Linked DNA regions of Macaca mulatta. The protein of the gene in region 5 purifies or fractionates together with the protein of the main gene of each other region. This does not show direct contact. Links are inferred from orthologs where the notes say so. Each region holds a gene or a part of one and is shown on either strand. Other genes may lie near its edges.

What was found.
Region 1: the proteins of CSNK2A2 (region 5) and HAGHL purify together in Homo sapiens (affinity purification with mass spectrometry; 4 studies listed by BioGRID and IntAct, counting the BioPlex papers as one, with this or other methods). This does not show direct contact. The link is inferred for Macaca mulatta from reciprocal best matches to the Homo sapiens genes CSNK2A2 and HAGHL.
Region 2: the proteins of CSNK2A2 (region 5) and SAP30BP purify together in Homo sapiens (affinity purification with mass spectrometry; 3 studies listed by BioGRID and IntAct, with this or other methods). This does not show direct contact. The link is inferred for Macaca mulatta from reciprocal best matches to the Homo sapiens genes CSNK2A2 and SAP30BP.
Region 3: the proteins of CSNK2A2 (region 5) and PES1 purify together in Homo sapiens (affinity purification with mass spectrometry; 3 studies listed by BioGRID and IntAct, with this or other methods). This does not show direct contact. The link is inferred for Macaca mulatta from reciprocal best matches to the Homo sapiens genes CSNK2A2 and PES1.
Region 4: the proteins of CSNK2A2 (region 5) and POLR2E purify together in Homo sapiens (affinity purification with mass spectrometry; 3 studies listed by BioGRID and IntAct, counting the BioPlex papers as one, with this or other methods). This does not show direct contact. The link is inferred for Macaca mulatta from reciprocal best matches to the Homo sapiens genes CSNK2A2 and POLR2E.
Region 6: the proteins of CSNK2A2 (region 5) and EIF3A purify together in Homo sapiens (affinity purification with mass spectrometry; 3 studies listed by BioGRID and IntAct, with this or other methods). This does not show direct contact. The link is inferred for Macaca mulatta from reciprocal best matches to the Homo sapiens genes CSNK2A2 and EIF3A.
Region 7: the proteins of CSNK2A2 (region 5) and PHRF1 purify together in Homo sapiens (affinity purification with mass spectrometry; 3 studies listed by BioGRID and IntAct, counting the BioPlex papers as one, with this or other methods). This does not show direct contact. The link is inferred for Macaca mulatta from reciprocal best matches to the Homo sapiens genes CSNK2A2 and PHRF1.

What each region holds. Positions count from the first base shown.
Region 1 is NC_133425.1:1,941,921-1,945,933, reverse strand, and holds the start of HAGHL (hydroxyacylglutathione hydrolase-like protein), read right to left. Parts: upstream 2,801-4,013; 5' UTR 2,662-2,800; exon of another isoform or gene 1,954-2,661; 5' UTR 1,929-1,953; coding exon 1,824-1,928; exon of another isoform or gene 1,478-1,823; coding exon 1,413-1,477; exon of another isoform or gene 1,325-1,412; coding exon 1,207-1,324; intron 1,125-1,206; coding exon 1,016-1,124; intron 937-1,015; coding exon 836-936; intron 743-835; exon of another isoform or gene 663-742; coding exon 561-662; exon of another isoform or gene 461-560; coding exon 381-460; exon of another isoform or gene 295-380; intron 180-294; coding exon 11-179; 3' UTR 1-10. Other genes in the region: CCDC78 (coiled-coil domain-containing protein 78), read left to right, coding at 2,822-3,124, 3,344-3,478, 3,561-3,647, 3,863-4,013. UniProt on the Homo sapiens protein: Hydrolase acting on ester bonds.
Region 2 is NC_133421.1:85,405,997-85,409,496, forward strand, and holds part of SAP30BP (SAP30-binding protein), read left to right. Parts: intron 1-1,179; exon of another isoform or gene 1,180-1,368; intron 1,369-2,526; coding exon 2,527-2,618; intron 2,619-3,351; coding exon 3,352-3,412; intron 3,413-3,500. UniProt on the Homo sapiens protein: Plays a role in transcriptional repression by promoting histone deacetylase activity, leading to deacetylation of histone H3.
Region 3 is NC_133415.1:20,962,847-20,966,038, forward strand, and holds part of PES1 (pescadillo homolog), read left to right. Parts: intron 1-1,066; coding exon 1,067-1,183; intron 1,184-1,301; coding exon 1,302-1,376; intron 1,377-1,607; coding exon 1,608-1,750; intron 1,751-1,959; coding exon 1,960-2,139; intron 2,140-2,531; coding exon 2,532-2,657; intron 2,658-2,774; coding exon 2,775-2,959; intron 2,960-3,192. UniProt on the Homo sapiens protein: Component of the PeBoW complex, which is required for maturation of 28S and 5.8S ribosomal RNAs and formation of the 60S ribosome.
Region 4 is NC_133424.1:1,752,873-1,757,054, forward strand, and holds the start of POLR2E (DNA-directed RNA polymerases I, II, and III subunit RPABC1), read right to left. Parts: upstream 2,801-4,182; 5' UTR 2,756-2,800; coding exon 2,699-2,755; intron 1,498-2,698; coding exon 1,323-1,497; intron 1-1,322. UniProt on the Homo sapiens protein: DNA-dependent RNA polymerase catalyzes the transcription of DNA into RNA using the four ribonucleoside triphosphates as substrates.
Region 5 is NC_133425.1:53,802,437-53,806,415, reverse strand, and holds the start of CSNK2A2 (casein kinase II subunit alpha'), read left to right. Parts: upstream 1-1,179; 5' UTR 1,180-1,550; coding exon 1,551-1,654; intron 1,655-2,435; coding exon 2,436-2,547; intron 2,548-3,979.
Region 6 is NC_133414.1:131,129,253-131,131,774, forward strand, and holds part of EIF3A (eukaryotic translation initiation factor 3 subunit A), read right to left. Parts: intron 1,927-2,522; coding exon 1,725-1,926; intron 517-1,724; coding exon 326-516; intron 1-325. UniProt on the Homo sapiens protein: RNA-binding component of the eukaryotic translation initiation factor 3 (eIF-3) complex, which is required for several steps in the initiation of protein synthesis.
Region 7 is NC_133419.1:502,087-505,586, reverse strand, and holds part of PHRF1 (PHD and RING finger domain-containing protein 1), read right to left. Parts: coding exon 1,594-3,500; exon of another isoform or gene 1,548-1,593; intron 1,193-1,547; coding exon 1,041-1,192; intron 890-1,040; coding exon 629-889; intron 436-628; coding exon 307-435; intron 1-306.

The DNA.
Region 1 (4,013 bases), about 52 Mb from region 5:
TCTGGATGGGTCACTCCTGTGGGGCTGCACTCAGGAGCCCCCACTGCAGCGCAAGGAGGGCCCGCGCCTGTGGCTGCCGCGGCTCGCCTGCCTGTTCGAAGCGCGCCCGCTCCTTGTAGAGCGCCTCCAGGACGTCAGCGGGGACCGCCTTGCCCGTGAACTTGCGCACCGGCTCCTCTCTGCAGGAAGGAGTGCAGTGAGACGCAGGGCCCACTGCCCACGCAGGAGGATGGTGCCGAGTGGCGGGGGCGGGCGGGAAGGCACTTAATAAGCAGCCTCCCCCAAGCCAAAGATGCTCACTCAGCCCAACACGCGGTCCCCAGATGCCTTCCTAAGGGTCCACGTGACGGTGGAGGCCCCGGGACGACAGCCATACTCACGCCACCCGCAGGAAGGGGTTGTAGAGGCGCTCCTCGCCCAGAGTCGACGGCACTGTGGGCACGTCATCCTCATCCCTCTTCTGGAGTGACCACAGGCCCTGGTCACCATTGGGCCTTCTCTGAAAGCCCCCCAAAGCCTGTGCCCCCCACCCTCTTGCCGAGGCCGGAAAGGGGCCGTGCCTTAGCCCAGGACAGCTTGGCTCTCACGTGGTCGTTGCACGGCTCTACTTTCTGCGCAAACTCCAGGTTGCTAAGCGTGTGCTCGTGGCCGCAGAACACCTTCTGGAGGAAGAACGCTCGGTGAGCGCGCGGGGAAAGTGCTCGCGCCGCTGGCGTGGCCTCCCCTCGCCGGCTGCCCTCAGGTGGGCATTCACTCTGCACCCCTGGCACAGTGCAAGTGCGGAGCGTGGGGCCTGCGCCCACGGGAGAGGAGGGGAGGGCCCAGGCCCGCTCACCGTCTCGGGGGGCAGGGTGCCCAGCTCGGCCAGGCTCTGGTACATCTGCTGGGCGCTGCCCTCCAGGCACGAGCCGCAGCCGGCCACCGACAGCGCGTCCCCTGGCGGGGGAGGGCGGGTCAGAGCAGATGGGGCGGGGCCGGCGGGAGGCGGGGTGGGCACGCTCTGCGCTGCGGGTACCCGAGAACAAGGCGGGTGGGTCCGGGCAATCGTCCTCCCACAGGAAGTAGCTCATGTGGCCGGAGGTGTGGCCGGGCGTCAGGAGGCAGCGCACGTGGATGGCCCCGAACTGCAGCGGAGGAGCGCGCAGACCTGTGAGGGCGGGCGGAACCGGGGCGCCCTCCCCGCCCCTCCAGGGGGCGCGCGCTCACCCGCAGCTCCTCGCCGTGCGCCAGCCTGCGCGTCAGCGAGAAGATGCGCTCGTCCGCGCCCAGCACCGCCAGCCCGGGACGCAGCCGCGCCAGCTCCGGGTTTCCCCGCGCGTGGTCCCTGCGGGCGGGCGGGCGGGGTCCGGGTTAGGTCGGGGTGGGACAGGGCGGCGGCGTCCTCCCGCCTCCCCCGCCCCGCCGGCGCTCACCAGTGATGGTGGGTGGTCAGCACGGCAGTCAGAGACACCTCCTCCCGGCCCACGATTTCCAGCAGCTGAAAGGGACGGGAGTGACGATAACACAGACGGTCCCAGTGGGCCACCCCCTCCATATCGGGGCGCCAGGTCCTGCCCCAGGCTGGCCATTGCCCGGGGCAGCGCCAGGGAACGGGGACCCAGCGGGCGGTGACTGCGCCCAGCCCGTGCGGAGACCACCAGGCAGCAGCGAAAGGGCGGAGGCCAGAGGCGCCCTAACTTCAGGGAGCCCCGAAATAATCGAGGAACCCCAGCCGCCAATGACGCCCAGAGAGCACTGCACGTGGGGGCTCGCTCCTGCCAGGGGGGTAGGGGAGGCTCTCGAGGGTCACGGCGGGGTCCCTGCTGCCCGCGGCCTGCCCTCACCCTCTTGGGCACGGCCACGTCCACGGCCACCGCCTCGCGCGTGATCTCCTCGATGACCAGGTACATGTAGTTGTCCTCGAGCACGGGGATGACCTTGACCTTCATGGTCACGAAGCTCGGCCACCCGTGCCTGCTCCAAAACAAGCCCCCCAGCCCACGGTGCCCCTTCAGGGCGGGGCCCGCTCTCCACACTCTAGGAAGGTCTGTGCGAAGCGGGCTCGGTCAACACGCTGGGGGCCAAATGAGGAGCCCGGCTCCCTAGGAACTCCCCGGCACTCGCGTGGAATTCCACGCACCGGGCTCCAGTAGGAGCGGAACCCGGCCGGTCCCCAACCCGCCCCGGCTCCGCCCCCAGGCCGAGCCGCAGTCCCCGAAGGCCACGCCTTCCTGCCAGGCCCCGCCCCTCGGCCCCCCGCCCTGCCGCCGCAAGACCCCTGACCCCGGGCAGCCGCGTTCCCCCGCCGCCCGCCTCACCCGCACTGCTGCGCTGACGGCCCGAAGGACAGACAGACGGAGGCGGGGCCTCGGCTGCCGGTCACGGGGTCTGGACGGAGCGCGGCGCCGGGCTCGGGAGCAGCCAACCGCCCCCCTCCGCGGACGCGCCCCGCCCCCGCCGGGCCCGGATCCTGCGCGCGGTGAGACCACAAGGCCCGCCGCCGGGGGTGCGCGTGCCCGGTGGGGCGCCGCGCGCGCGCTCCGACCCCGCCGCGCCCGGCGCTGGCACCTCCTCCAGAAAGCCCTCCGGAACGCCCCGGCTGAGCCAGTCGTTTCCGAGTTCTCTGGCCCCTGATTGGGACCTGCGCGCCCCGCTTCTCAGGCCGGAGGTGCAGAGACATACCTCCCCGTCCGGGGCTCAGCCAGCACTGCTAGGTACACAGAAGGTGTCCAGCGAGTGTAGCTCAGGGCATCCTGCGGGCGGGCTGCTGCTCCATTCTGCGTGCTTGTCCGCAGCGTCAAGGCTGGGTGCTTTCACGCACCTGGTTCCATCTGCACAGGGAATGTGCAGGGGGCGCTGGGCCGCATTCCCCAGATGGGGAAACGGAGGCACGGAGAAGAAGAGCTGTCCTTCCTCCTCCACAACCACAGGTCTGGCCTGCCACTGTGGGCGGGGCCCTGGGAGTCACTTGGAACCAACAGAGGCCTTGGCAACGCACGCAGCAGTGCTTGTGGCAGCAGCCGCCATAGGGAGGCCAAGCGTGGAGGCGGCACCGGGCTCGGAGCTGGCCAGGGTCCCCTTGCCTATGGAGCACGCAGCCACCACAGGCCCCAGGCCTGGACCTCCCCCTCGGCGGGTGGACAACGTGAGTCCTCTGGGACGCACCACTCCTGCCACGGGGCTGGAGTCTGCCCTTTCCCCCAGGGGCCAGGAAGGTGCAGGTGCCTGCACCCTGGGTCTAATCTCAGCCAAGGGAGGAACTTTTGCTGCTCAGCCAGGCAGGGAGAGGGGGTCAGTAACTGCATGGGAGTGGGGCCACCGCTCCAGGGACCCACCTGGGGAATGGGTGGCGGTGCCTCCCCAGGTTGTGCTACGAGCCAAGGACTGGCTGCCAGGAGCTCCTGGGGGCACCACAGCGTGGGGCACCACGGCGTGGGCCACCAGCCTGGAAGCAGAGGTCCCACCAGATCTGGTGCTCAGTGAGGAGCAGCAGCTGCAGGTGGGTGTGGGGCCCCAGGGTGCTATGAGGGAGGGTGCCAGCAGGGCTCCACAGATGCCACCTCTCACCTGGCCACCCACAGATCTCCAAGGAGCTGGTCGACATTCAGATCACAACCCACCGCCTACAGGAGCAGCATGAGGCTGAAATCTTTCAGCTGAAGAGTGAGGTGAGCAGCCGTGTGAGCCAGCCTCAGTGCATGGGGGACAGACGGGTGCAGGCCCAGGACACGTGCCCTGCACGGGTGTGCACACGCACATGGCATCTGTGGGTCTTGGCCTGCCCTGTGAGTGCTGCGTGTCCCTGAGCGTGCACCAGGTGAATGTTCACCTCCCCCAGGTGGCCCGCAGGCAGGTGTACCCGCTCATGCCAGTTGTCCTACAGATCCTTCGACTGGAGAGCCGGGTGCTGGAGCTGGAGCTGCATGGAGATCACACCAGCCAGGGCTGTGCGGTCCCAGTGGAGGCTGACCCCATGCACCGCTGGGCACCAGCCCAAGAGCTAAGACACAAAGCCCAGGTGCCTGGACACTCTG
Region 2 (3,500 bases), on a different chromosome or scaffold from region 5:
CTGCAGCCCTACTGGGCCAATGGGAGCTTCTGAGAAAGAGCTTTGCTAAGAAACTGAGGAACCCTCAGAATGTAAAATAAATTACAGAAATGAAAAAATCACAAGCATTTATATATATACATTTTTCTACGCTAATCTATTTCTAAAATGCTGATTCAGTAGCTTCTTGCTTGACAGAATGCAGCACTGACAGGAGGTTTTCAAATCCCAAGGAGTCGAAGCTTTTGTGCAGTTACACTCACGGGGGGGACATCTGGGGTTCAGCCCGTGGCTCTCCTTGTCCCTCTGTGGGTTCCCTTGTGATGAACAATAGAACAGGCACCCAAGGCTGCACAATCATGGCTCCTGGGCCACCTGCTTCACCTTTGATCCTGGAGCTTCCACTGGGGGCCTCTGGCTGCACAGCAAGCCTGTGACACCACCCTAACGGATGGATGACTAATGGGACCTGAGGCTAAGGAATGCAGCACGCTGGGGGAGGGCCAGAGTCAGAACTGGGGGTGCAGGGCAGATTATCTTCCCTTCCCGGAAGTCTCCTCCCATAGCTGAGTCGTCTCCCCACCACCACCCTCCAGAATCACGTCACCCTCCATGCCAGACAACCAGACAGCAAGCTCCAGCCTGTAAGGACAACTCCAGCAACCCGCCAGGCAGAGACAGCTGGCGCACTGCCTGCAGTGCCAAATGTGCCTCCTCTTTAGACCCTCCTGATGGTGGAAACCATGGCATTTGAGCAAACATTTTAGTTCATCTGGGGTGGTAGAACTGATCTTACGGCCCAGGAGACGCAGCCAAGTCATCTGTATGACATGGGTTCTCCTCAAGTTGCTGAGCCTTCTATATATGGCTCCCTCCATGACCCTGGAGGAGATAGCTTGGAGGACAGAAGTTCTTCAGTCTCGGCGATTATATCACAGACCTCCCTCTGCGGTTCAGCTCTTGCTCTGGCCAGTCTCGGTAGAAAGATTTGGCCTCTAATAAGGGGAGTGGATCACCCCTCCTGACATGTCCTAAACGCTGTCACCTGGGCCCTCCAGGCCTGCCCGCCCGCTTTGCTGGCACAGTGCCTCAGGTGTTTCCCTTCTGGAGAATCTCTGTTTAAGCCCCACTGCAGGGGGAGGCTGCAGGTAGATCTTGCCCTGGACCAGTGCCCGCCTTCCTGGCTGAGACTGCTCTTACCAGAGGTGGCTCTGGTGTCTTGGCCCTCTTCATTGGCACTGGGCCATGCTGATGCCATCTACTTTGGGCATCATGTCCATGGGCTGGGGAGGACCCCCTTCCTGAGGACGCCTGTGGCACTGGCCGCAGTAGGTCAGCCTGCATCCCCCGTGGTGGTTCTCCACTCTCCCACTGAGAGCCAGGCATGACCTGTGGGGAATTTGGGTGAGAGAGAAGCAGTTAACCCTTGATACCCTCGATAAGCCAGCGCGGACCAGCCACCTGTGCGCCTCCCCGTAAAAGACACATTCTAAAAAGCTTGCAAGACCGAATCCAAACAACTACTCCTGCCTCCCATGAAAAGGCCATAGCCCTTCCGAAGTCTCCTGTGGTTCACAGTTCTGCTGAGGACTTGACCTCATGTTAAAATTTAAAACCAGGATTCATTCCCTGCATATCAACACCAGTACCCTACACCCTGCTTCGGATGATTCTGGAACTGATTAACCAATTGGGGCTTTGTTCATTTTTTTCTCCGTGGCTCCTCTGCTGTGATCTTTTCACTGCTCACTATATTGTCATCCAGAGAGTGTCAGGAAACCTCAGCAGTGAAAGCAGCCTGGTCTTGGTTTATGTTACTTGTGTGCAATTCTGGGCAAAAGGTAGGGTGGAAAAAGAGAATAGGTTAATTTTTTGTTTCGTGTTTTTGAGAGAGTCTCACTCTGTTACCAGGCTGGAGTGCAGTGGCATGATCTCAGCTCACTGCAATGTCCACCTCCCAGGTTCAAGCGATTCTCCTGCCTCAGCCTCCCAAGTAGCTGGGATTACAGGCGTGCCCCACCACACCCAGCTAATGTTGTTTGTGTTTTTAGTAGAGACGAGGTTTCATGTTGGCCAGGATGGTCTCAATCTCTAGACCTTGTGATCCACCCACCTTAGCCTCCCAAAGTGCTGGGATTACAGGCGTGAGCCACTGCGCCCGGCTGAGAATAGGTTAAATTCTCCGCCTTCTGGGTTCACGCCATTCTCCCGCCTCAGCCTCCCAAGTAGCTGGGACTACAGGTGCCTGCCACCATGCCTGGCTAATTTTCTGTGTTTTTAGTAGAGATGGGGTTTCACCGTGTTAGCCAGGATGTTCTCGATCTCCTGACCTCGTGATCCACCTGCCTTGGCCTCTCAAAGTGCTGGGATTACGGGCATGAGCCACCGCGCCCGGCCAAGAATAGGTTAAATTTTAACATGAGGTCAAGTTGGGCTTTGCGTGGCTCTGGAGCCTCACGTTCATGCTGCACACGTAGCTGGTGACCAGGGGCTGGGATGGTGGAGAGGTGGGCTTCTGTCATACACCCCTCTGCTCCTCTTCCATAGGACAAGATCCAGAAGCTTTATGAACGAAAAATAAAGGAGGGAATGGATATGAACTACATTATCCAAAGAAAGAAAGAATTTCGGAACCCCAGGTAAGTTTCCCTTGAACCTGCAGAGTTTATTGAGTTATTAATGTTGGATTAAGGACGTCCCCAAGGAGGTGGTGAGGAAAAGCCCTGAGCCCAAACCATCACCCAGACTTGTCATTACACTGAGTGCCTGCTGGACACGGCAGACTATGCTAACCCAGCCAGAGGCTTGCCATTTAAGATCCTGACAAAACACAAAGCAGTCCATACCGAGACCTAGACGGGGATGAGGGAGACCTGGCTGAGTTCTCGTCCCTGCTCTGAGCCTAAAGCACATGACCTCTCAAGACCCCTGTCCTCATGGAAGGAATTGGACTAGACAATTACTATAGGTTCATCTTTCAACTCTAAAAAGCTGATTTTTGCATATAGGTGAGAGGTCTTAGGACCAGAGCTATGTCTGGTCTTATTCCATTTAATGCTCAAGCTAGTGACTTACGGGGGAAAGAGCATGGCCCTTGTGTGGGCCTGAGTGTGGTGAGCCCAACCCAGCCATGCAGACTGAAGGTCAGTGGGACAAAACTCAGCCATCACCTTGACCCCATGCTCCTCCCGGCCCTTAGTTAACAGGTCCATCTCCCTGGGAGGGTGTAGGGCCATCAGGAAGCTTGCTTAGAGCAGCTGAGCTGGATTTAAAGGTTTTGAAGGTTTTGTGTCAGCCCCAGGAGCTGGATGGTTCAGGCCCCAGGCAGGGACGTGGACTTGTGCCTGCTCAACGCCTGTGCTGTTTTTTCAGCATCTACGAGAAGCTGATCCAGTTCTGTGCCATTGACGAGCTTGGCACCAACTACCCAAAGGTACATCTGGCACACGGAGCTGGAGGGTGATGGGGACACCCGGGGTCCTGTGCTTGTTCCATGGGGTTTGACCTGCAGCCACAGAAGG
Region 3 (3,192 bases), on a different chromosome or scaffold from region 5:
TGTGCTTTCACAGCACAGGTCACTGTCTGGCAGCAGAATAGCAGAACAGCTGAGAGTCATGGGCACACCCGGCACTCATGGTGATCACTACTGATTTTCATGTTGCTCGGAACATCCTGCTGCGTCCTGGGAGCCAGCTGGGCTGGCTTGGCCTCCATGGTTTTAGGGGGCAGAACCGCTCAAGAGTTGCGGTGCTTCTGTCTGGGCCTCAGTTCTTTGCCCTGTTTTGCCCTATTAGCTGCTCCAGGGCGAAGATAAGCCTTCTGTGTCCCCTGCTGCTGGGATGACAGCTCTTTGCCTTTGCCCTGAGCAGTAAGTAGTTTGTCTGCTGGCCATTTCCCAAGAGCTGCCTGGGGGCTGAGCCAGGCCAGCTGCCAGCCTACCCCAGCCCTTTGGGTCATGGCTCTGGACCTGGCTTGGGCCCAAGGAGGGGTCACTCAATTCTGAGTGTCCATCCCGAGGTTCAGAGGTGGGACTCAGTGGGTGGCCTGAGCCCCATTCATCCCCCGCCCCCGCTGAGCCTGGCCTTCCCAAGGCACCTTAGTCAGCTAAGGTTTTGCCAGCCCTTCTGGGCTAGGGACAGCGCTGGGAGCACCGCCCTCCTGGTGCCCACACGCTAGCCCAGCAGCAGACATGCAGCAAAGATTGTGGGCTAGGTGATGCAGAAGGCAGGAGCTCCGGCCGGGTCAGAAAGTGGTGTCTCCGAGTCTGAGCTAGACCTGAAGGGAGTGGGAGAACTGGCGCAGGGAGGGGAGGACCAGCCAGTCCTGGGAGCAGTGGGGACCAGGGTTCCTTTTCTCACTCTTTTATGGGGGTCTGGCACTGACTTCGAGGATGGCTCTAACCCTTGGGACCCCTATCCAGAGCCTCACTTGTGGCTGGGAACACTTGTGGCCAGAACGCCCCTGGGTGGGAAGATCCGTGCCACCCCTTCCCTAGGGCAGTGCCTTCTTGAGGAGCTTGGAGTCCTCGGGTAGGTCAGACGCCCTCCACTCTGTGGTTGTCTGTCCCTCCTTTGCTCCCATCCCTGCGCCCACACTGCTCATGCACCTCTTGTGTTCCTCAGCACCCGACAGACGTGGACTACAGGGTCATGGCCACCTTCACTGAGTTCTACACCACACTGCTGGGCTTCGTCAACTTCCGCCTCTACCAGTTGCTCAACCTGCACTACCCCCCGAAGGTAGGACCCCATACCAGTGCCTTCTGCTCGCGGTGCAGGGGCCGCAGCCCTTCTCTGTCGACACAGAGGCGAGGGGCTGTGGCTGTCCTCTGCCCCTGACCTTCCCCTTGCCTACTAGCTCGAGGGGCAGGCCCAAGCAGAGGCAAAGGCCAGTGAGGGCACCTACGCGTTGGACTCCGAGAGCTCTATGGAGGTAAGAGGCTCCAGCAGCGTCACCTGGCATCTCCCAAGGGCGTGGTCTCTGTCCCCAATACCTCTGGGGGTCTGGGTCAGGGTGGGGGTGGTTGTGGCTAGGTGGGTGGTCTCAGCCTGCCCTTGGAACCCACACCTGCTGATGCCCAGGACTGTCACTGCTGCCCCTCCCCACCCTGGCCCCATGCCCGCATGAGGTCCCCCACTGCAAGCAGCCCCTTCTCTCCTGTAGAAACTGGCGGCCCTCAGTGCCAGCCTGGCCCGCGTGGTGGTGCCTGCCACAGAGGAGGAGGCCGAGGTGGATGAGTTTCCCACCGATGGGGTGAGCACTGCACTGCCTTCTGGCAGGAGGACTGGGAGGGGTCGTGTGGGGGGGTTCCCAGCTTAGGGACATTTGCATCCTATAAATTAGGTGTTATTTGACGGTCAAAGCAACTGAGCAGAAGAACGGGCTGAATTGTCATCAGAGTTTACATAGGAGGCAACAGAGTTCAGGAGTGGGGCCTTGGAGTTTCCTTTGAAGGCAGGATCCAGGATCTAGAAGGAAGCTGGAGTGGGCGTTATCTCCAGCCTTGGCCCTCCAGTGGAGGTGGGCAGCCCTGGTGGTGCGAAGCCTGGCCTCTTTTTCAACAGGAGATGTCAGCACAGGAGGAAGACCGCAGGAAGGAGCTGGAGGCACAGGAGAAGCACAAGAAGCTTTTTGAAGGCCTGAAGTTCTTCCTGAACCGAGAGGTGCCCCGTGAGGCCCTGGCCTTCATCATCAGGTAGGGAGGCTCAAGGGCCCTCTGACAGCACTGGTTCGGCCATGCTCTGGTCTGGGTCCTGCCCTGGTGTCCATCAGTAACATTGGGATGGTGTCAGTTTCTACTTCTTATGAAAGAGTGTGTGGAAAGTGCTCGGCACTGCACTGAGCACATAGGAAGCACTCAGCAGAGGGCGGGACTACCGTCATTTTATTACCAGCTTAGCACAGAAGGATGAGCAGTGGGCAGATCTCTGCTGAGCCAGGATGGGAGGATCCTGGGGTGAGGAGGGGGCAACGGTGCCCTAAGAGGGTGAGTTTTTGGACTGGGTGGCCAGCAGATCCCAGGAAGCTGAGTCCCAGGACAGGCAGTTCATGTCTGTGTACCCGTGTGGGCTCTCCCTGTCCCTGTAGGAGTTTTGGGGGGGAAGTGTCCTGGGACAAGTCTTTGTGCATCGGGGCCACCTATGACGTCACAGACTCCCGCATCACCCACCAGATTGTCGACCGGCCTGGGCAGCAGACCTCAGTCATTGGCAGGTAGGCCCCCAATCTGATTATCTGGATTTCTGCGTGTCCCATCTCAAAGGCCCTGCGATGCAGCAGGACCCTGAGTTGCCCTCCATGACTTCGTTTTTGCCTGCCACTCTGCACCAGGTGCTACGTGCAGCCCCAGTGGGTGTTTGACTCGGTGAACGCCAGGCTCCTCCTCCCCGTGGCAGAGTACTTCCCTGGGGTGCAGCTGCCCCCACACCTTTCACCCTTTGTGACCGAGAGGGAAGGAGATTACGTCCCACCTGAGAAACTGAAGCTGCTGGCTCTGCAGCGGGGAGAGGACCCAGGTGAGCAGGATGGGACTGGGCTGGCCTTGGCCCCTGGGCCCACACTGGCTGTTTCCCTTGGCTGCCAAGGTGGAAAGCTCCAGGGAACAGGCAGTAGGAGCAGAAAGCCCTTTGAAGCCACCTGTGGAGTAAGGCTTCGGAGAAGGGACATCTGCCTCCTGGGGTCAGGTGTTATTTGACGTTCAGGATAACTGAGCAGAAGAACGTGCTGCGTTGTCATCAGAGTTTACATT
Region 4 (4,182 bases), on a different chromosome or scaffold from region 5:
CGTGGTGGCGGGCACCTGTAGTCCCAGCTACTCTGGAGACTAAGGCAGGAGAATGGTGTGAACCCGGGAGAAGGAGCGTGCAGTGAGCCAAGATTGTGCCATTGCACTCTAACCTGGGCGACAGAGCGAGATTCCGTCTCAAAAAACCAAATAAACACTACTAAAAAAAGTAAAAGTAGCCAGGTGAGATGGTGTATGCCTGTAAACCTAGCTTTTTGTGGGAGGCTGAGGTGGGAGGATTGCTTCAACCCAGGAGGTGGAGGTTGCAGTGAGCCGAGATTGCGCCACTGCACTCCAGCCTGGGTGACAGAGAGAGAGACTCAGCCTCAAAAAAAAAAGAAGACCGGGCGCAGTGGCTCACGCCTGTAATCCCAGCACTTTGGGAGGCCGAGGCAGGCAGATCACCTGAAGTCAGGAGTTTGAAAGCAGCCTGGCCAACATGGTGAAACCCCATCTCGACCAAAAATACAAAAAAAAAAAAAAATAGCCAGGTATGGTGGTGGGTGCCTGCAGTCTCAGCTACTCAGGAAGCTGAGGCAGGAGAATTTTGAACTCAGGAGGTGGAGGCTGCAGCGAGCCGAAATGGCACCACTGCACCACCTGGGTGACAGAATGAGACTTTCAAAAAAAAAAAAGCAGTAGCATCACCCGGTTGGCAGACACGCTCCGTCCACCCCACTGATTAATTCTGGGCACGCGGCTGTGTCCCTAGGCGCTGGTAGTCCCCCAACCACTGAGGGCGCTAGAGCCATCCTGGGGGGGGGCAGACAGGTGGGGAGACTTCCACGGTCCAGGTGCTGAAACCGAGGGTCCCAGGGGTCCCGGGAAAAGCGGCCTGAGCACAACCTCGAGGGATGAGTAGCGGACGCTGACAAGGCAGAGGCGGCATGGGGTGCAGAGGAATGGGCTGGGGCAGACAGGGGCCACAGCTCACAAGGAGGCTGCGCTGACCCACACGGGGCCTCCTGGGCCAGGCCAAGAAGCTGGAAGTGCACCCAACGGCCAGGATGGGGGAGCCAAGGAACACAGGTAGGGCAAAGGTCATGAGGGGCTGCGGGTGAGTAGGGAGGTCCATGGGACTCTCCTGGTTGGCAGGAAGAAAGGGGACCGATGAGAGGGAAACCAGAAAGAGGCTGCGCATGAGAGGGGTCAGAGGTCCACGGCATCGCCCACAGCAAGGAAGAGGAGGGGAAGTTTTCCTCCCAGATTGGGCAGAGGATCAAACGCTGGGCACGAGGCGGGAGGGGGTGGGTGCTAGCGGCCGGCTCCTCAGCAGGTGCTCGGGCGGCTCCACCAGAACTCCCCCGGGACCCGCTGCTCACCTGGAAAGAACACAAACATCTGGTCGGTGGGGTCATCGTTGTGGGCCACCAGCACCGTGAGGTCAGTGCGCCGCGGCCGCCCCTCACTCGGCTTGTCTCCAAATTGGGCTTTGAACTCCTCCAGTGTCTGGTCAAGCTCGTCCTGGGTCACTAGGTAGCCACGGTCGTGGCACAGCTGCAGAGAGAAAGAACCAGCTGACCCCAGGGCAGAGACAGGAAGGCGGCCAGAGCTCGTGACCCAGAAGTCAGACCTGCGGCTGCTGCAGAGGACAGAGGTGAACAGCAAACGGAATGAACACTCGCTGTGTGCCCCATGACAGCCATCCTGGCCCCCACAGCCCCACACCACAGGATGGGACCAGCGTGATCCCGAGAGGCTCGCAGAGGTGTCCAGCCTTGACCAAGACCGTCCGTCTATCCAGCCTCACAGGAACCTGGCAGGGGGCAAAGCCCTCCAAACCACTTTGCAGAGCTACCCTAAAGACAGGGACAAAGACGGGGCGTGGGGGGTCACGTCCACGACCCCAGAGCTCAGGGAGGCCGAGGCAGGAGGGCTGCTTGAGGCCAGGAGTTCAAGGATGCAGTGAGCTATGACTGCACCACTGCGCTGCAGCCTGGGCGACAGAGTGAGAGCTTGTCTCTTAAAAAAAAAAAAAAAAAAAAAAAAAAAAAAAAGACAGGGACCGAAACAAATGTGACTTCAGGCTGACAATGTTTGCGGCCCGGAGGAAGGAGAATCAGGCTGCGGGGGGCTTCGCTAAAGACAAGGGCATAGGGGGTGGGGAAGCAAGACAAAACAAAAGCTCCCAAACGGCCCCAACGGCTGAGGGAGGACCCTGAACCGCAGGCCCTCAGACCTTTGCCCAGTTTCCAAACCGGAGTCGGCCCAGTGGCCTCCATCTGTCTCAGACCCCGAGGCACGGGTTCCGGGCTCCACGTCCCCATCGAAAGCCCCAGCTCGCCTGCTGCTTCCCAACCACCAACTCCGCCAGCCTCGGATGCTGAGACGCCCTGGGGTTCAGGACGCAAGGACAAATGGCGACGCTGAATCACAGAGAGGGGCAGGGTCTGGGGGCGCCCCCCGTCCCCATTCGCACCTTCCTCCTCTCGCCGCCATGTGCGCCGCACCAGCCCAAGCCGCCCGCCCACCGCTAAGCCCCGCACCCAGACGTCTCGAAACCCCCTCCCTTCCCCGCTGCCGGCTCAGGTCGGGCCCAGCGCCTGGGATCCCCGGCGGCCTCGGGGCCTCCCGTGTCGGCCGGGCCCTCCGTCGCTGCTGCTGCGACGGGAGTACGAGGAGACGCCGAGCTCGACCTCGCCTCGGGCCCCTGCACCTGCTGCTCGCGCCCCCGCCCCCAACACCACGCGCGGCTCACCTGCATGATGGTCTTGCGGATTTTCCAGAGCCGGTACGTCTCCTCCTCGTCGTCCATCGCCGCCACTCGCACCCGTTTTGCCTGCGAGAACCCGCGCGGACTGCGCCTGCGCCGACTCCCAATCAGGCCCCCTCCACGTAACCCCGCCCCGCGATGGGCTGTCGTCGGCGAACGCCTGAATGCAGCAACTTCCGGGATCGGCAGCGCCAAGGGCAGCCCGAGCCTTGCGAGAACGGCAGTTTGCTGCGCGAGACTCTCCCTCCGTAGTTCTCGTGTGTCTTTGGCTGCACGGCCTCTTGGGAGTTGTAGTTTCCGTTCAACTCCCACGTTGCGGCGACAGTTTAGAATCCCATGAGGCGGGGGCGAAGTGTGGGCGGGGAAACTGAGGCCTGGAATGGGTCAAGGGGCAGCTCGGCTCCTAGGGACGGTCGGGGAGCCTAGTGGGAACTCTTTAAATATTTGTGCATCAAACTGTACAGGGTTTCCTCTGTTGGCTCCAGGCCAGGTCAGGGTTAATGCCCTTGGGCCTCAGTTTCCCTACCTGTGCAATGGCAAAAAGTGTCCCTACTTTAGGCGGTTAACTGAGAGTCTTAGGTAGAGCTAGGCATATCTCTAGGTGCTTTTTAAGTCCCTTCACCTCTGTCCTCTCCCCTGAGTGCCAGCCTAGCCTGGGTATCTCCCCACCCCAGATCCGTCCTGTCTTTGCAAACCTCACCTCCCCAGATTCACGGAGGATCCCAGCCCAGCACTCGCTGTGTGAAGGCAATCAGTCACTGACTCAGTGATGCATTCATTAATTCAGCATTTACTCAGCAACCTACAGTGATGGTGAATAAAAACAGGCCAGGTATCCCTTGCATTCAGAGACAGGATTTAGTAAAATAACGTTACTGGGCGCAGTGGCTCATGCCTGTAATCCGAGCACTTTGGGAGGCTGAGGTGGGCAGATCACGAGATCAGGAGATCGAGACCATCCTGGCTAACACGGTGAAACCCCATCTCTACTAAAAATACAAAAAATTAGCTGGGCCAGGTGCCCGTAGTCTCAGCTACTCGGGAGGCTGACGCAGGAGAATGGCGTGAACCCGGGAGGCGGAGCTTGCAGTGAGCCGAGATCCGGCCACTGCACTCCAGCCTGGGCCGCAGAGCGAGACTCCGTCTCAATAAATAAATAAATAAATAGGACAGGCGCAGTGGCTCATGCCTGTAATCCCAGCACTTTGGGAGGCCAAGGTGGGTGGATCATGAGGTCAGGAGTTCGAGACCAGCCTGGCCAAGATGGTGAAACCCTGTCTCTACTAAAAACTACAAAAATTGGCCAGGCGCGGTGGCTCAAGCCTGTAATCCCAGCACTTTGGGAGGCCGAGATGGGCGGATCATGAGGTCAGGAGATCAAGACCATCCTGGCCAGGCGCGGTGGCTCAAGCCTGTAATCCCAGCACTTTGGGAGGCCGAGATGGGTGGATCATGAGGTCAGGAGATCA
Region 5 (3,979 bases):
TTACTGGTTTTGTGCTGTAGAATCTGTGACACAGAGAGGTTGAGTAATTGTCCTAAGGTCACACAGCTTCTAAGTAGCAGTGCTGGATAGATCTGACTCTACAGTCTGTGCTCTTAGCTGTGTCAAGGAGGAAGGCCCAGGATTTCATCTAGAAAACAGACTGTGAAAAGGGATTGGAATGAGAGCAACCTGCACTGGGTGCAGAGGTCCTGTCGATAAAGGATGCAGGATGGGAAAGGAAGACAAAGGAAGGGCCTAGAAGGTCCAAGGAGAAGGGTGTTCAGGGCTGCAAGCAACACTGGAAGCCAGGCCAGTTCAGTTGACCACCTACCCTGGTGCATCCCCAATCCCTGCTGTCCCTTCAGGTCGGATTTGCAATTCTGCTCTCCCTCCTCCTAAACACAAACAGGAGATTTACACACTCAAAGTCTCTCCCCACAAATAACTAACTAATCACAAAGGGAAAAATTGTAACTTTGCAGTGGCACAACCTGGCCGACGCCAGCTTAACCAAGTGACCAAAGTGGATATTCAGGGAAGGCTCTGGAAGGGCATTTGGGGGAAGCGTGGAAAGGTTTTGTGAGGACTCTGAATGACGGGGGTGGGAAGCTTTGGGGACTGAGGAGTCTACCCTAACAGGGCAGGGTCCAGAGGGGGAAGGAGGGGTATGTCTCCGGGAAAAGGAGAAGTATTGAGGTGGGAGAGGTTCTGAGGTTTGAGCGAGGCCCTGGGGAGGGACTTGACAGTTTGGGTGACAGGAGGGTCAGAATAGGGTCAGTATGGGAGGTGTCGGGTGGGTAAAAGCTGGGTGAGTGCAGGGCTAGGGGTAGGGTCTCCAAGGACAGTGAAAGGGTCGGGACTCGCGGGCGAGGGCTCTAGGGCAACGGCCAGTGGAAGGGGGGCTCCTGTGGCGTGAAGTCAGGCCAGCCCGAGGGTGAGGCGATTTGGACCGTCCGACCTGGGGCGACGGGAGGGCGAGGGTGCGGGACGGTGCGGGAGGGCGCGAGGTAGGCGGCGGGGCGTGCCGGGGCGGGGCCGGGGCGGGGCCGGCACCGCCCGGCGGGTCCCCCCGCGCTCCAGGGGGCGCTGTGAGCCTGGGCGGTCCCAGGCCGGGCGGCGGCCGCTCCCAGCGAGCGCGGCCCCTTTTCCGGGTTTCCTCCGCCTCCTCCTTCTCTCCTCCTTCTTCTCCGCTGCCGCGGCCGCTGCCCCTTTCCCGGCCGGTGGCTGCCACTGCCGGTGCCGCCGCCGCCACTGCCGCCGCCTCCTGGGGGCCGCGAGCCGAGCGGAGACCGCCGCGGATCGCGAGCGCCGCCCGCCCCGCCGCCCCGCCGGCCGCTCCAGGGCCGGGCCGGCTCGGCCGGCGCCCCCCGCGCCCCCAGCCCGCCCGCCCCCGCGGGCCCGGCCTGGCGCGGCCGCCCGCCGCCGCGTTCCTCCTCCTCCTCCTCCAGCGCCCGGCGGCCCGCTGCCCCCTCCGCCCGCCGCCCCGCGCCCTCCGCCGCGTCGCCGCCGCCACCCTCTGCGCCCCGCGCCGCCCCCCGGTCCCGCCCGCCATGCCCGGCCCGGCCGCGGGCAGCAGGGCCCGGGTCTACGCCGAGGTGAACAGCCTGAGGAGCCGCGAGTACTGGGACTACGAGGCTCACGTCCCGAGCTGGGGGTAAAGCCGCCGCCGCCCCCCGCCGGGCCCGCTGACCCCTGCCCCCGCCCGGCCACCCCCTGCGAACCGCACTCGGGCCCGGTGGTGTCTCCCGCCGACCCCTCCGCGGGCCCGCAGGGAGGCAGAGGTCCAGCTCTCGCACATGTCCTCGTCTTCCTCTTCCCTCCCCTTGTCCCTTTCTCCCCGCTTTGCGCACCTCTTTCCCCCAAGGAATGCTTTTTTACTCGGGGAGAAGTGTGGGGTCCAGGGATCGACGCCCGGTAAAAGTGAGGGAGTAGCCCTTCCTCACGCTTCTGGGTTTCCACTGGGGTGGGAAGTCAACAGCTGTCCTTTGGAGCTATTAAAATTCCCTGCCTTTTCGGTTTTCTGAGATGAGGTGGTGGGAGGAAATTTCTTAAAGACGTCCAGTTTTTTAAAACAGGCACTGTCTACCCTCAGGGTGTGAAACGGGAAGCAGGTGCTGGGGAGCCGCGGGGCACAGGGGGCACCCTCTAGGCCTTCAGGACGGGTGCTTTGCTCAGCCCTCTGGATTGGCTCAGAGCGTTGCCTTCCTGCCCCATCTTTCCAAGTTAGGAGAGACCAATTAGGTTAGGAGCTCTGCAGAGTGAAGGGAGCCAAGATTACGTCGTGGCTTTCATTTAGGGAATGAGTTGTGACGTGATGTATAGACACTTCCAAGTGTTTGCCTGTTGGAAGCGGCTGAATGACGTATACAGTGAGCATAGGCTTGCTTAGATTAACCCCCAGTCCTGGCATTTATGTGTGTGTCTTCCTTTTACAGTAATCAAGATGATTACCAACTGGTTCGAAAACTTGGTCGGGGAAAATATAGTGAAGTATTTGAGGCCATTAACATCACCAACAATGAGAGAGTGGTTGTAAAAATCCTCAAGGTGAGTGTCCTATGAGTGGTATGTAACATTTTTCCCCCCACAGGGCAGAAGGTTGTAAGCTACCCCAGTCACGTTCTAGAATGGGCAATGCAAGCTTGAATTTAATTTAATTTATTTATTTAGAGTCAGAGTCTCACTCTGTCACCCAGGCTGTAGTGCAGATCATAGTTCACTGCAGCCTTCAACTCCTGAGCTCAAATGATCCTCCCATCTCACCCAAGTAGCTGAGACTACAGGTGCATGCCACCACGCCCAGTTATTTTTAAAATTTTTTTGTAGAGTCAGGGTCTGGTCAAGTTGCCCAGGCTGGTCTTAAACTCCTGAGCTCAAGCAGTCCTCCAAAAGGACTCCTTGCAGGCCTCCTAAAATTGCTGGGTTTACAGGCATAAGCCGCTGTGCCCAGCCCACGCTCAGATTTTATTTATCTGATGTCCCTTCATTACTTCTTTTTCCACCCCATTTTGCTGTGAACTTTCAAGAAAATGTGCAGACTGGTCACAGATCTTAGTTCAAATCTAAGTTCAGGAAGGTGTTTGTTCTAAAAAGTAAATTGCCTAAAGCAAAAATTCCTAAAGGGCTCCATTTGTTAGAAAATAAATAGGTATTCAAAAGACAGGAAAGCCATTCTCAATTTAAGGGCTCCCTGAGCACTGTGTTTGTTAGTCTTGGTGCATGCTCTCCGTTGTTCCAGAAAGAAAGTTGGAAAAAATTGGAGCGACTTCAGAAATGTATGTCAAACCCAAGTGGAAGGAAATTCCTTAGCAGATAATCACTTGCTTTTTTTTTTCCTTTGGCAGTAAAGTTTCAGGTGGGATGGATATAGTGCGCCAGTAGTGCTGAGAAGCCTTGTTGGGAAGCCAGAGAGCCATTGTTGCTTATCAGCTAGTAAAAATGTAGAAGAATTCACGTATTATTACTAAAGCAATAATTGGAACAAAACGATTTTAATATATGGTTTAGCAATCAGTTTGATAATGATATGTCTTTTGTTATCTCTTCCATGAAGATGATTTTAATGAGCATGAAGGGTCGGCTAAATTTTCCTTCTGGTAACAGATTAATTGTATAGCTTTAATAATGTTTTATAGGCTATAGTAAAAAGTAGTTCTTAGAATCTGTGATGGGTCTTCGTTATTGCCAGATCATTTCATGTGGTTACATGTCATTTAGTGAGAGATTGAGAAGACGGAAGAGTGACGTAAGCACTTTGCATACATGTGATTTCCAGTGTGGCCCTTTTGCAGAGGTTCTGTGGACTAAGAATGTGGAATTGAAAAGCTGTTTCTGTGTGTTAGAGCAGCTGTGTAGGTAATCACTGTTTAATGTGAGGGGTCAGGCTTATGCTTCCTGGTAATCTTTCAGAAAAAATGATTAACTCCATCACTCAAAACATCCTAGCCTAGTGATGAAGAAGCAGAATTGCAGTAAAGAG
Region 6 (2,522 bases), on a different chromosome or scaffold from region 5:
TACAATTTCAGAGAAAATGTTTCTACTTTGTGCTTAATTTCTCAAGAAGTTGCTTTTAAATAACAATTTTTTTCATTTTTATTAAGTAAACTTTATATATATTGCCTACTATCCAATTTAGTCTACTACTGTACTTTGAATTTAGAGATAAGTGCACTTCACAACACGACCATTAACTGTATGAAAATCCTGAATTCTAAATGGAATAAACATCAGCTCTCTTATTGTTGGCATTCATACAAGTTTACGATATAATTAAATAACCCAAATCCCCCCCCAAGAAATGACGGTTCTCCAATACTTCAGTTGTATGTAACATCTATACCTTCTTCACGTTCTGATCTGAGCGGAGGTCCTCTTCGGTCCCTATCGTCTCTTAGATCTCGTCTTTCTCTTAGATCACGCCGGTCATCCCTCTCACGGCGACGGTCATCCCTATCTCTATCATCCCGACGACTTGAGTCTCTCCAGCTTGAAGATTCCTCAGCTGGTCCTCTTCTCCAGCCACCTTCATCCCTGTAGCCATTTACAATGACAAGTCAGGTTCTTACTACTGTTAGACCAAATGGGATAATTATAAGTACATCCAATCCAAGCTGGGGCTTAGAGTTTACAAATGTAACAGGACAGTTTAAACTCATAACCTGACCTTACCTGATACCTGGGGCATGGAGAACAAACGAGAACACTCAGATCTGTGCCATCCCACTCAGTAGCCACTACCCATATGTGGTTACTTAAATTTAAAGTAAAATGGAGATATTTCCTTAGGAGCACCAACCATATATTCTAAGTGTTTGGCAGCCAAATGTGACTGCTGACTACCATACTGGCCAACACAGACACAGACATTTCTTCCTTGCAGAAAATTGCATTGAACACTGCTGGTCTACATTTATCAGTGCAAGGACACTTTGGCAGAGGGAGCAAGCTAGAACTTCTACTACCAATAAAATCGAAGGGCTTTTGATAATTTAAGGGCAAAAAAACTGACTGCCCTAAACCACAGGTTGAAAAGCAATGGACTGACAAAGACAGCTGGACTGGTTCCACTGCCCAACAGTCATACAGCCTATAGACAGCCACGAAGTCTGGGCCTCCATTTTCTTGCTTTAACAGGGAATGTTTGGTTAGATAATCTATAAAAATTTTTTTTTTTTTTTTTTTGAGATGGAGTTTCGCTCTTGTTGCCCAGGCTGGAGTGCAATGGCACGATCTTGGCTCACCACAACCTCCGCCTCCCGGGTTCAAGCAACTCTCCTGCCTCTAAAGCCTGCATTATGATTCTAAGAGATAAGGGGGGTGCTGGGGAATAGCAAGGAACATCATTTCTGAAAAACAGTTTGAAATACACAGGCCGGTGTCTAAAACAACCCCAACTGCAGCTCTACAAACTTTTTTTTTTTTTTTGAGATGGAGTTTCGCTCTTGTCGCCCAGGCTGGAGTACAATGGCACGATCTCTGCTCACTGCAACCTCTGCCTCCTGGGTTCAAATGATTCTCCAGCCTCAGCCTCCTGAGTACCTGAGATTACAGGCACACCACCACCAAATCTAGCTAATTTTTGTATTTTTAGTAGAGACAGGGTTTCACCATGTTGGCCAGGCTGCTCTCGAACTCCTGAACTCAGGTGATCCGCCCACCTCGGCCTTCCAAAGTGCTGTGATTACAGGCATAAGCCACCGCGCCCGGCCTCTACAAATAATTTAATTAGAACATCACACCTAGGTCTTCTGAAGCGATCCTCTCGATCCACATCTCTCTCTCTCTCCCTTTCTCTCTCAGGTTCCTTGTCATTCTCCTCTCGATCTTGATTATCTCTATCTCTTTCTTTTTCTCTGTCCCATTCACGTTCTTCTGATGGCCTTGATTCTCGAGGTGGACCCCAGCTCTCCTCTCTGGCTTTTTCTTTCTCTCTCCATCCACCTATTTTTTTGAAAAAGCAAAATATTTTTAAAAGAAGAAACAGATTGGCAATCATGAATAGACGCTGGCATTAATTCATCATCATTCTAAATGCTACTTTTAAGATACTGATTAAAAAAACACTAAAGCTATGTATATCACTGCAGAGACATCATTAACAGTATTTTAAACTTATATAAGAAACTTAAAATGGGCCGGGCACGGTGGGGCTCACACCTGTAATTCCAGCACTTTGGGAGGCCAAGCCAGGTAGATCACTTAAGGTCAGGAATTCAAAACCAGCCTGGCCAACATGTTAATAACCCTGTCTCTACTACAAATACAATTAGCCAGGTGTGGTGGTGCGCCTGTACTCCTAGCTACTTGACTTGGGAGGCTGAGACACAAGAATCGCTTGAACCTGGGAGGCAGAGGTTGCAGTAAGCCAAGATAGTGCCACTGCACTCCAGCCTGGGCGACAGAGTGAGACTGAAAAAAACAACAGGGGGGAAAAAAAAAAAAAAAAAAAACCTTAAATGATCTGGCTTGAGTGCTCCATAAAACAAAAATATCACTAAAAATTTCACAATTTTTCCTATTGCACGCAGATTTCAGTA
Region 7 (3,500 bases), on a different chromosome or scaffold from region 5:
CACTCTGGGGGTCTTGTTCTCCCACCTGTACGCTGGGCGTGGGCTGGGTAATTTTACATATTGCAAAACACGTCTGCGTGGGCCTCGCAGGCACTGAGGCACCCTTCTTCCTAACCATCTGCCAGGGGCAGCCACAGGCGAACCCACCTGACCCCAGGCCTGCAGGATGTGGCAACACAGCCACCTGCCCTGGCTGGCTGACCTCGGACCTGCATTCACGGTCACCCCAAAGTCCGTGTTGACGAGACAGCAGCGACGGGCTACCCGTGACCCCGAGCCCCACACACAGGCTCGCGCGCAGCCCACCTTCTGCACGGCCTTGCGCAGGATGTCCTTGTACTCCTCCTTGGTCACCTCCCTCTTCTGGTAGAAGGGCTTGATGGCCAGTTTCACCTCCTCCACAGCACGCTCCTGCATGTGCAGCTTCTTCATGTACTAGAGGGGGACAAATGTGTGACGCGGCCAGGCAGGGGGCCTGGAGTCCCTCTGGCCAGAGGCACTGCGGTTCTAGACACCTTTCCAGTTCCGGAGGCACAGGGACTGGCTTCCACCCCTAAATTCAGCCCCGACAATTTTAGTTTCACAATAAGACAGGAACGCGGGGAAAGTGGGAGGAGGCAGGACTCACCTCCTCCTTCTTGGTTTTCTCTGCAGCCAGCCTGGGAGCCGGGGTCTTCTCCTCTGAGTTGCTGGCTGCAGTGGCTTGACTGGCTGGCTCTGAGGCTGGGGTCAGGGCAGTGGGCACTGGGGCCAGGGTCTGTGCTGCCCCACAGCCCACTAGCGGCAGGCTCCCCTGCAGGATGAACTGGACCGTGGGCTGGCTGACCAGCGCACAGGGTGGGATGCTTGAGGGCTGGGCTGGGGCAGGTGGCAGGCTGGGGCTGTAAACCTGGGAAGGACACCTCTGCTGAGCACCGGGCCCTACGGCTGGCAGCTCTGCCCAGGAGCCGTGAGGCCTCAGCCCCAGCCTCGTGTGGCGTGTGTGGCACGGGTGCCAGGCCACTGCCCACAGCCCACAGCCCTCCAGCCCAGGCACCCACCTGAGAGGGGTCTGTGTCTGGGAACCCAGGCTCCGGAAGCACATGACTAGGAAGGGGCAGCTCGGAGAACGCCTGCCTGACCCCTGTGGGGGCCACGTCCTCCACATCCCAGGCTCCTTCTCGGGGCTTCTGTGGCCTGTGAAACAGTGCCCCTGGGGGCCCGACAGACAGGGAGGTGGGTGCTCTGTGCCCGCCCCTGCCCAGAATGCTGTTTCACGGCTGGAAAAATCCAGAAAAGCGCCAGGAGCAAGGACCACAGAGCAGCCCTCAGATCCACCCCCAGCAGCAAGGGAAGGTTGCGAGGTGCGCCAGCTCCTAGCCACTGATCCCCCACCATGACCTGCTCTGCCCGCCTGCAGGAGACCCCCGCACCCACTATCCCAGTCTTCCCTGGCTCCAGAAGCTCCCTGTGGTGCGCAGGACCCTACTCACTCAGGGTTCCTGTTCTCAACATGGGTTGGATTCACTAGGGGCTCTGTCCTCAGCGGGGGCCGGGGCCCTACTCACGGGGGGCTCTGTCCTCAGCGGGGGCCGGGGCCCGGGCCCTACTCACGGGGGGCTCTGTCCTCGGCAGGGGCGCTGCTCTCCGACTCCTGCAGGTTCCAGGTGACCCGCTTCACCAGGGCTCTGGACCGCAGCAGGGGGGTCTGCAAAACCACCTCCTCAGGCCGGGCTGCCTCGTGTGCCCTCCCGCTCACGGAGGGGCCGTCTTCCTTCCCCACAGGCGCCACATCCAGGGCACTGGGCGCCTGAGCCTTCTCAGCCACATCCGGCCTGAGCAGATGTGGCTCCTGGGGGTCCTCTGGCAGGGGTGGGGGCTGTGAAGGGTCTTCATCGTGCATCAGCGACACCTCCCTCTGGATGGCGGCCACGGCCAGGCTGGCTGGGGGCAACGCGGGCTCCGGTGGGAAGTCTCGCTCTGGGGAGGAGTCTGTGCTTTCGGGAGAAGGTGGCGAGCTCATGTCATCGAGCTGGATGAAAACAGCTTCACTTGAGAAATCGTCGAAGACGTGCCCGGCCTCCACGGAGTCGCCATAATCCAGGTCCAGGTCGTCGGGCTCACACTCGGCTGCCACCTCCAGGACAGGGGGGGCCTGCAGGGGGGCCTTGTCTGCCGTAGCCACCTCCACTGAGACATGTGCTTCCCCCAAGGCTGGCGACCTGGTGGGGAGGTCTTCCTGCCCTGGCTCCCCCTGTGCAAGGGGTGCTGGGGAAGCGTCCCTCACAGGCCCCTTCCTCTCTGGGGAATGGGACCGGGGCCTCGGCCGCTTCTCACGGGACCGTGGCCGCCTGTGCTCCCGCGCCCTGCGCTCCAAGCTTGGGGACCGGGACCTCCGCTTCCTCCGGTCTCGGGGCCATGCCACGCTCTCCTTCCTGTCTGGCCGTTCGTGGCTGCGTTCCCGCTGATGCTTGTGCCTGTGGAGCCTCTCCAGGCTGCTGGTGGGGGAGCACTCCCTTCCCCGAGGCCTGGGCGGCGATCTCCTTTTCTTCTTCTTCCTGCTCTCATAGGGCTCGTAGGAAGAACTGCCGGGGCTCCCCGAGCGCGACCGGGACGTCCTCCGGCTGTGGCCCCAGGGGCCCCGCCTGTGCTCCCTGCTCCTGTCCTTGGCTTTCTTCCTCTTAGCTCGTTCTCGGCTGCTGGAGCGGTCGCTGGAGGACCGCCGGCTCTTGGCCTTGGACCGCTGCCTCCTGGGGCGCTCCTCACCCACTGATGGTGACGCTGACCTCGAGCTCCTGTCCCTGGATTCAGAGCGCGTCCCAGAGCGCGTCCGTCGGTGCTCCCTGGCCACCCTCTTCCTCTTGGCCTTCTTCCTGCCGCGGGAGCTGGATGTGGAGCGGGACCGGGAAGGGGGCCTGAGCTCCACCACTCTGTGGGTGGCCGCCTGCGGCATGTCCGGGCTGGGCGGGGCTTCTGGCTGCACGACAGTCACACAGGTCACCGTCCGCTCCTCAGAGCCAAAGAAGGTGCTGCAAGACGCCCCATCCTCCTCGTCCCAGGGCTCCGGCGGGGATGGCCTCCGCACCCGGGCAGCCAGGCCCTGGCTCTCCGCAGGCTCCTCTCGCTCCGTGTCAGAGGCCCCCCGGAGCTGGGACACAGTAGAGGACGGCCCACGAGGGGGCTCAGGCTCTGTCCCAAAGATGCTCTCCACTGTGTAGGAGGTGACGCAGCGCACAGCCTGAACCGTCTGGGCCTTCGGGCTTTTGATGGAGATGGTTCGTGTGATCTCAGAGGGCAGGAGGCCAGGGCCAGACCTCTCGGGGCTGCTGCTCGGGGCGCTAGAGTCGGAGCCGGTGGGGTCAGACGGGTCGTAGACCTCACTCCGCAGCGGCTTCGTCTTCTTGATGGAGAAGAGAGGCGAGGGGTTCTCCTTCCTCTGCTCCTTGCTGTCCACGGGCCGGAACGTGTTACAGAAGCCGGGGCTGGAGAGCTGGCTGGAATGGGCCATGTTTCCAGGAATA